2 linked regions of the Oryzias latipes genome follow. The protein of the gene in region 2 purifies or fractionates together with the protein of the main gene of each other region. This does not show direct contact. Links are inferred from orthologs where the notes say so. Each region holds a gene or a part of one and is shown on either strand. Other genes may lie near its edges.

What was found.
Region 1: the proteins of klhl15 (region 2) and nudcd3 purify together in Homo sapiens (co-immunoprecipitation; 3 studies listed by BioGRID and IntAct, with this or other methods). This does not show direct contact. The link is inferred for Oryzias latipes from reciprocal best matches to the Homo sapiens genes KLHL15 and NUDCD3.

What each region holds. Positions count from the first base shown.
Region 1 is NC_019870.2:1,856,928-1,861,417, forward strand, and holds the start of nudcd3 (nudC domain-containing protein 3), read left to right. Parts: upstream 1-1,420; 5' UTR 1,421-1,555; coding exon 1,556-1,753; intron 1,754-2,124; coding exon 2,125-2,408; intron 2,409-2,477; coding exon 2,478-2,610; intron 2,611-2,675; coding exon 2,676-2,819; intron 2,820-2,901; coding exon 2,902-3,090; intron 3,091-4,490. Other genes in the region: mrps24 (28S ribosomal protein S24, mitochondrial), read right to left, coding at 975-1,010.
Region 2 is NC_019878.2:2,979,849-2,984,382, forward strand, and holds the start of klhl15 (kelch-like protein 15), read right to left. Parts: upstream 2,974-4,534; 5' UTR 2,807-2,973; coding exon 2,746-2,806; intron 1,635-2,745; coding exon 1,547-1,634; intron 768-1,546; exon of another isoform or gene 678-767; coding exon of another isoform or gene 658-677; intron 507-657; coding exon 368-506; intron 1-367. UniProt on the Homo sapiens protein: Substrate-specific adapter for CUL3 E3 ubiquitin-protein ligase complex.

The sequences.
Region 1 (4,490 bases), on a different chromosome or scaffold from region 2:
CAAGCATCATTGGGAAGCGACTTGGAAGGAAAATGATGGAAGTAAAGTGTGTAGGTTTTGGACTGCGTTATTGTGGCGAGCGTCCTCAGGTGACCAAAAAACAAAAAGGTTGCCATGGAAATAAAACCATCAGAAAGCTGTCATTTTGGAAAATGCTAACCATTTGACTTTCCTTTGGTTTTATTTCTGATTTGAAAGGTGAACTATTAGAGCTCGCAGAGAAATGGAATAATGGTCTTTAGTTTGGGAGTTGAAGAACCAATGATGACTTTTCACTCTCAGATACAAACATATGAATGAAAGTTCATATGAAAGTCTGGACGAACAGATCTGGACCTAATCTGAGCCATCAGTGCAGAAGTTTTTGCCTCCGTTCCATCTAAAACTACCTGTTGTCGAGTCTTTAAGACAGAAATAAACTTCAGCTTGTTGTTCAAGAAAGAAGGAGAAACACGTCTGATTTTTAAATCAACCCATCAGCTTTCAGAGTTGATTTAAAACTAGTTCCTTCGTTTATAAATGTCTAAATGGATCCAAAATACTTTTTTGAACCTCTTAGAGCCCTCAGATCCTCACATGCAGGTCTGCTCTACTTCCAAATGTTGAGAAACACTGAGAGGTTATTAACTGAAACGAGATCTTTAGATAGATTTAGTGTCATTTGAATGCAGCGCCCTCTGTCGGTGGATCCTGAAACCAATGGGTTTTCTTCAAATGCTGAAAACCTTTCCGGATTAAATCGTGGCTTTAGCTCACTTGGATTACAGACACGCATTGATTTATGGGGGGAAAAAGTCTTTAAAGAAGTTAATCGTCTCTTCGTTCTCGGCAGGCCAACATTTCTCACAGAAAAGCTTCTCGTTCGTAACCAGAATATCATCGTTTCTGAGACGTCATCATTATTTTTAAGAAAAGACGTTTTCGATAAAATAAAATGTCTTAGATGTTAATAAATGTTCATTTTGTTGTCTCACCAGCAGCCTCCCGCCGCAGCTGAAGGACGCGGCCATGTTTTCTTGTACCGTCTGAAGCGGAACTACTATTGTCCTTAATCTATGTTGTTTTATAACAACGTTTTTATTTAAAAAGAACAACAAAAACGCATGCTTTATATTAAAAACAACTTCCAAACTAAAAGTGTCGATCAAAACAGCCCTTTTTATGTTTTTATGACCGTTTGTTTTTATGTTGTTTCTTAGGGAGCGTTTATGTAGCTGGAACGGAAATAAATCATTTTTTACAGTATTTTGTTGTTGTTGTTTTGCGCTTGATTTCAATGAATAAATAAAATTAAATTGGTGCATATTTAAGTGGGCTCTCTAATTTGTAAATTAGCTTGCTTCAAGATGATTTCGACGAAAAGCAAGCTAAAAAAACAAACAAAACGACTGGTGTGCTCTTATTTTGACATGGTGGTACCGGAAACTGCGTCATTGTTCTGGAAAAAGACAACCGTAATCAGAGAGACAAAACAAACCGGCCTCATTTATACACTGTCGTTCGTGGTTTTGGTCACTCGGGTCATTTCGGAAAAGGGCTCGCGCTCGCAGCCGCGATGGCGTCGCCGCTGGAGATGACGGAAATGTACGACAACGCTCTGCTGGGGATCCTGCAACACGTCGGAAACATTCAGGACTTCCTGAGGGTCTACTTTGGGTTTTTGTACAGAAAGACGGACTTTTATCGACTGCTGTCCGGTCCCGACGACAGGATGGGCTTCCCTCCTGGAGTCGCAGAGAAGATGGTGCTGAAGGTGAAGTTTTGTAAAGGCGCTCGCGGCGTGGCGCGTGCCTTCCTTCCGAGCGTTTGCCGCGAACGAACCAAAGTTTCAGATCTTGTTTAGATTCGTGTTCTGGTTTGGGTTCTTGTAGAGATGCGCCACAGATAATAATATCTACACTCTAAAAACACATCCCCAGCGTGTTTCAGGACCGTTTAAAAAATGTTTAGGGGCCCTGGGCAAACCTGACTGCAGGGGCCCCGTCATCTCTCCTGCCGCTCAAAACCCCAGACGCCTCTTTCTACTGAGCTGGTTTCAGTGGAACCAGTGCCTCTGGTTCTCCAAACTCCTTCTGAGCTCCAACTGGTTTCTGGATCCCACGGCAGACTTTCTTTTGTCCGCAGACGTTTAGGCTGTTCGAGCAGATGGCGGATCAGGACCGGCAGAGGGCGCTGAGCCAGCTGCAGAACGCGGAGGAGAGCCGCGGCGTTCCTCCTGCAGTCCAGGAGCTGCAGGTCTCCTCTGAGCCCCCAAAGGCAGAGGAGAGGAGCAGCGTGGAGGCGCCACAACCGGAGAGCGCCGCCAGCGAGGCTCCAGACGCTGCGGCTGCTGCCGGTGAGGCTGCGGCCCCCAGCGGCAGAGGAGCTCCGTCGTCTCAAGGAGATGAAGCGGCGGCGGCGGGAGAAGGGTGAGCATCCGGCGCAGAGGAGGAGGAGCTTCCTGGACGGGCCCGCCTCCTGACGGGTTTGTTTTTCAGGAACCAGGACATGTTTCAGGCCAACCCCGACAGCTACAACGGAGCACAGAGGGAGAACTACAGCTGGTCTCAGGACTACACGGACGTGGAGGTCCGGGTCTTCGTGCCGAAGACGGTGGTGAGAGGCCGACAGGTGAGTCCGAGCCGCTGCGCCGCCAGGAGGTCGGCAATCCGGCGCTGACGGGGGCGTGTCTGCAGGTCAGCGTCAGTCTGCAGCCCAGCGGCATCAGAGTGTCCACGAAGGACGGCGGCGAGGAGAGAACTCTGATGGAGGGGGAATTCACGCACAAGATCAACACGGAGAACTCCCTGTGGAGCCTGGAGCCCGGGAAGTGTGTCGTGGTGAGAACCGGGACAGAACCGGGCCCTGTTCACCAGGAAAGAGCGCTCTCTCCGGGCTCATGTGGGTGTTTGTGACTCGCAGCTGTCGCTCAGCAAGACCTCCGAGACCTGGTGGAACGCGGTGCTGAAGGGGGAGGAGGAGATCGACATCAACCGGATCAACCGCGAGCGCTCCATGGCGACGGTGGACGAGGAGGAACACGCCGTCCTGGACAGGCTGACGTTCGACTACCACCAGAAGCTGCAGGGCAAACCGCAGAGCCACGAAATGGTGAGGAAGCAGCTGGGCGCGAGGGGCGGGACTTTAGATCAACGCTTTCATCGGAACAGCCAATCGGTGCTGAGCCCAACAGAAGAACTCACGGAATAGAAACGCGAGGATCGTTTAAAAAAAGGCTCATGGGCACTAAGGTAGAAAGATGCTAAACTAGCTAAATATAAGAGCGTAGGAACAAAATTAAAAACGTTATTTCCAAAGTTACGTAGTAAATAAGACGCATTAAACAACCGGTGCATCATGTGAGACGAAAGACATTCTGGACCTTAGTTGTATTACACAACGCGTGTTATTGCTGTTTAAGCCACTTTAGCCGCATAAGCCACGTTTGCCATGTTAGCCACATTAGCAGCGTAAGCCAGCTTAGTCATGTCAGCCGCATTGGCAACGTATGCCGCGTTAGCTACGTAAGCTATGTTTGCCATGTTAGCCGCATTAGCCACATTATCTGAGTTAGCCACATCAGCCGTGTTAACCACATTAACCACGTTAGCCCCATTGGCCGCGTTACCTGCGTTAGCCACATTAGCCGCGTTAGTCATGTTAGCCACGTAAGCATAGTTAAAAACTGCCAACCATGTTTGGGACACGTAAAACTGTTACTGGTAAAATAAAACGTCACCCTGACTACGCTAAATCCCAACTTTTGTAATAACACAGACATGCTATAGTAACGTATTTACCATAAACCCAACCGTTTTTTCAACTTGTTACAAAAATTGACATTCTGACAGAGCGCCATGTTCCTCAGGAAATCAACAACAATCAACATCAGTAAACAAAAGCAGAATTAATGCATAAGCGACACACACGGCTCGACAACTGTTGTAATGCCGGTAGAGGTGTTCTGCTGCAAGTCGCCTGTCAATCAACAGACCACACCCCCATTAGCACACGATTATGACTTGTAATCGTGTTCCCTCGTTTATCGTAAACGTTCTAAAACTACGGGACGGATGTTTTAAAACTCACTTTCTAGACTTTTCTCAGACAAACATTTTCACACTTTTCTCTCCTTCAAACTGACAAAATTCAAACATTCGTAGAAAAAGAAGTTTAGTTTTATAGAAAGAAAACAAAGATCTGATCAGGATTGAAGATTTCTGTAAATGTGGAAAAGTGAACGCATTCTGTAACACAATGGAGGTTAAGGATTTTAAGATTTTGTTGTTTTATTTCTTGGAAACTTTGAAAAGTTTTTATGTGAAAATGTGTCAAAACTGACTCGTGTTCAAAACGTCCCCTAGTGGTCACTCTGTGAAATCCACAGACACCAATCAAAGAGTAAAAGCTGCTTCTTTGTGCATTTCTGAAAATTGAGGGGAAAAACAGAAATAATTTGAATTTCAGAAGTTATTTAAAGAAAGTTGTTTTGTGTTTTTCAGCACACAACA
Region 2 (4,534 bases):
ATCATGAGGAAAAAGCCACAAAAACATGTTAAAAACACCAAAAACATCTATCTTTTCCAGTGAGTGGGTCTTTAAGGGCCACTTTCCTGCTTTACTTCCAACAGCCCTGCTGGGGAAACCCCTCTAAGAAACACACCTGATGCAGGTGAACAGCAGCAGCAGAGGCAGGGATAACAGCACAACTGAATGCAGCTGTGCAGCTCAGCGGTTTGGGTTGGTCCGCCCCAAAACGCCTCTGCTTTGACCTCAGACGAGGCCTCTGAAGAAACCACACGAGGAGTTCAGGAGCGCGTCTCCAAACCCCCCCCCCCCCCCCCCCCCCCCCCCGTAAAAGTCCCCTCCACGGGTTCACTAAACGGTTCCTCACCTGGAAGTGGTGCTCCTCTATCAGCAGCGTGACGTCCAGCAGCAGGCGCTCCTCGTAGAGCGCCCGGAAGCCCGACGACACGCTGCCGTCGTGCACCTGGGACAGGTACACCTCCACATCCGCCCCCGACATCACACACCTGTGGGAGAAGGCGGAGTGAGAGGGGGACCGTGTTCCGGCTGCTCCAGCCCCCGCCCCAAACACCCCCCATGACCATCACGCCCACCCTCACTGCTTTGATGGACACACACACACACACACACACACACACACACACACAGCACACTCACCTCTGATTGGCCACGGGCATGTCAGAGGGGGTTGTCCGAGCCAATCAGAGGACAGTGCCCCTTTGTGTCCAGACGATGTTAACAAAGTCCCTTTTCTGAGCGTCAATCACCTGAACAACAAAGCCAACACAACCACCACGTTAAAGCAGAGCTGCTGCTGCCCGGAGCTCCACGCCATCCACGCCGCAGCCGCCATGAGTCCACAGCGAGGAAACACATCAGCAGCGCAGAGGTCAGCTGACTCAGCTCAGGAAGAGCATGGGGTCAGGCTTGACCTCAGCGTGATGCTAACGGCCTCCTCTCTGGACTCAGGTTTTTACAGAGACTGAGGTCGTTCCAGGAGGAAAATGAATCGTTTGATAAGGATTCAGATTCAGTCACATGTCAGACGGTTTCTGTTAAAAGTCACGACATCAGCCAGTGTCTGAGCAGATTAACAGACAGGCACGTCTTTGGGCAGCACGGGGCTTTAGACTGCTTCACTGTGTTTGCAATGACAGCCTTTGAAACTCATGTTCCTACTATAACTAGGAAATCAGAGAACATCATCTAGACATTTAATCTTAGCCGTTTCTCACTTCATATATTTTTATTTTCAAAAACTAAAGGACATTTAAACAATGATTATCAGTGAAGAGAACAGCTATGGTTCAGTTTTCTGATGCAGCAAACTCTTGTTTTAAGCAAACCTGTTGAGGTTCAAACATTTGAAAGCTTTATTAGTCTAAATTATAGACAGCATCTGCAGCAAACGTCATATTTGTACCACAAGAAACAGGAACGCTTGAAGATGTGACTTTGTATAAACTACAGGCATGAAAGCATGAAATGTCATGAGTGTCTGTGGAGCTGAAACATGGAGTGAGGCGGGGAGGGGAGGGGGTCGTACCTTTTGGAGCCCGAGCGAGCGATCACAGGCTGTGACAGCTGAGCACTAAGGGGTCGCTCGCATTTCCTGTGTTTGTGTTTCCCTGGTTCTACCAGAACACACAGGAGACAAAGGTTCAGAGGATGATGGGTTCAAAGACCAGGAGCTTCCCCACAAACACCCCAGAACTGAAACCGATTCCTCTTTTTTTCAGTCCCCACCACTCAGACACGATCCAAAGGAACCGTCTGGTTCTGCTGCAGGTACACGTCATGTTAGAGGGAGTTCTGTCACAGGATCTGCTCCTTCCAAATGAGGTCCGGTTGGCCTGAAGAACAGAACCCTGTGACCTACAGGACCGACCATCTTCTTTACAGTCGCTCAACGTTGGGTACAGGAAAACCTGCAATCTGTCACCTACATATGTCGTTATTTAAATACAATCCCATTGAAATGATGGATTAAACGTGACTGAAACATCTGACGTTATTCCTTTTTTAAATGTTTTTCTGTGTTTTCTAAAACACATCTGTTGTCATTTGGTTTTAAAGGAATAAAGTTAATTTAATTCACAGGTAAATAATTGTATAATAGTGGGAAAAAACCTGAGCAAAACAAACGTTTGATTGTTGAAAACTAATCCCAGGAACGATGACAACCATCACTTCAGAACATTATGAGTAAAACAGCTCGAGGCTACTTTCAGAGATGCACAAAAAGAAGAGGGTCCGTTTGATTTATAGTGACGTATCAGTTCTCTCGTTTGTTGCAATAACTCCGGAGATATTATTATGGTCTGGCGTGTTGGGGGGTCTCAAAGGGCCCAAACCTGGAGGTGTGTGCGGGACTCAGCACCCGGATTTTCTCCGAGTCACGACAGAAAAACAACAGCAGGTGTACGGCGGCGCTCCTGCAGGTGATGGCCGTGAACGCGTCACAGAATCACAGCTGCCCCGTGACAAATCATGGTGCGTTTGAGTGCTTTCGTCCGTCACGTAAACAAGGTTCTGCCCGCAGGAGTCCGGAGTGAGAGCTGCTGCTCCCGAATCAAAGGGGCTCCAGGCGGCTCCGGGGGCCGGAGGGCAGCGCTCCGTCACGGGCAGGAAACCCCATCAACGGTCCGCGGCTCTCCGCCCGCCGCTCCGGATCCACGTTCACGGCTGTCGGCGCTGGTCAACAGAGGAACGGCTTAGCTTAGTGGCTAAATCCAAACAGCTCACCTCGGCGGTGCGAATCCCCACAACCCCTCTTCGACCAGCCAGCTCTGGCGCCTTCGGACATGAAGTTGCGAGTTCGTTTCCGTGTTCAAGAAAACGGGCGGCAGTGGCTCACCGCCGTAGCTGTGTTGGAGCCCATGCGCGGACGCGGAGAGCCCCGACAAGGAGGCGAATCACACGGCCAAAGAGCCACCGCGGTGGCCGGACTACACGGACGCCATCTTCTGCAGTGGCGTCATTTCCCTTCTGGGCGGAACTGAAGGGCGTAGTGCAGTCCGCCGAAGATCGTCTATTGACGAACATGTATCACTACAGGTGAAGAAAAACACGAACCTGGTTTCTGGTTTATACCACACAGATGTTTGTAGATTGAAGCAGTTTAAAAAACAAGAAATATAAAATAAATACAACAATTAAATGTAAATATTACAACGTAATGTAGCTTTCTGTGGTAAATATCAAAACCCGATTTAAACCACCATGGATAAAAGGTTTCACTGTTATAGTAACTACAAAGTTACACACCCTTAACAAAAGGAACCTGTTTAACTGTACTACAAGTATCCTCAGTCTACACTTAAAAAGGCAGTATATTTGAAGTTTACTTTTGATATACTATTGTAAACTTAAAGACACACTCTGATGAAAATGGTGTTAAAAAATTAAGCTCGGTTTTGTATTTCTCAGTACTTCTGTATTCAAATCACTGTGAATCGAGAGCAGACAAAAAAATGTTGTGAAAAACATTGTATTTGTGATGTTGAAGCTACGCTGGGCAGGCTAGCGTCTCCCTGCTCTGCTTCATTCTGATTCCTCCACTGTCTGTAAATCCATGTGGGTCTTTGTTTTCCTCGTCTGAGCTGAAATTTGGATCCAAATTCTACAGTTGGATCCTCTGATATTGATCACCATTTTTGTTGCACCGCTAATGTGAATGTCAAAGTGTTCCCAGTGGTTTTTTAATTATGTTGATGCAGTTTTTTAGTCACAATCAAAAAACCTGTGTCTTTTTCTAGATCATAGTTTCTGCAGAGTGGAAGGAGTTCATTAGAAATTCAAGTCTGTGGCAGGAATTTTAATTTATTTATTTTTTTATTGAACAATTGCAACATACAGAACAAAAAAATGCAACATTTATGCTTCTATAATGTACATTACAATTCTGAATACAGAATAAACGTGTTACATCCTTAGGAAGATTTTAATTATCAGTAACAGTCAAACAAAAGGGAATAAAAATTAAATATAAAGAAAGAAAAAAGAAATAAACATAGGGAAAAAAGAGAAAATGCTAGAGTAAACTTATGTCAGTATTCCAAAAGATTTACAAATGTTAATTATTTTTGAGCTTTTGTATTTTTTGAATCTAAAATTAACTTGCTGCAGTTCTAGTTTGAACACAAAGAAATCAGTTTTTTTATTGTAAAATTAGCTTTTGTGAACATGAAATTTAGCCATAAATAAAAACATGTCTATACAAAAGAAAGCATCACGGTCTTTGAGATCAAAACTATGGAAACCAAATAGTACGTTTTTATAGTAAAGTTGTATATCAGCAAAAATAGAGTCGGTGATAAATTTGTGAATGTTTTTCCAAAATTTTTGTGTGAATTCACAAGACCAGAATAAATGAGAGCAGGTTTCAGGTTGTTTCTGACAGAAAGTACAGATGTGGACTACAAATTAGAAGAACGACTACAGATCGTCACTTTGTTACGTCATCTTCAAAGGACGCACCTCGACTACTCATTCACGAACCCGATCATTCACACGCTTTTACTTAGGTAATATG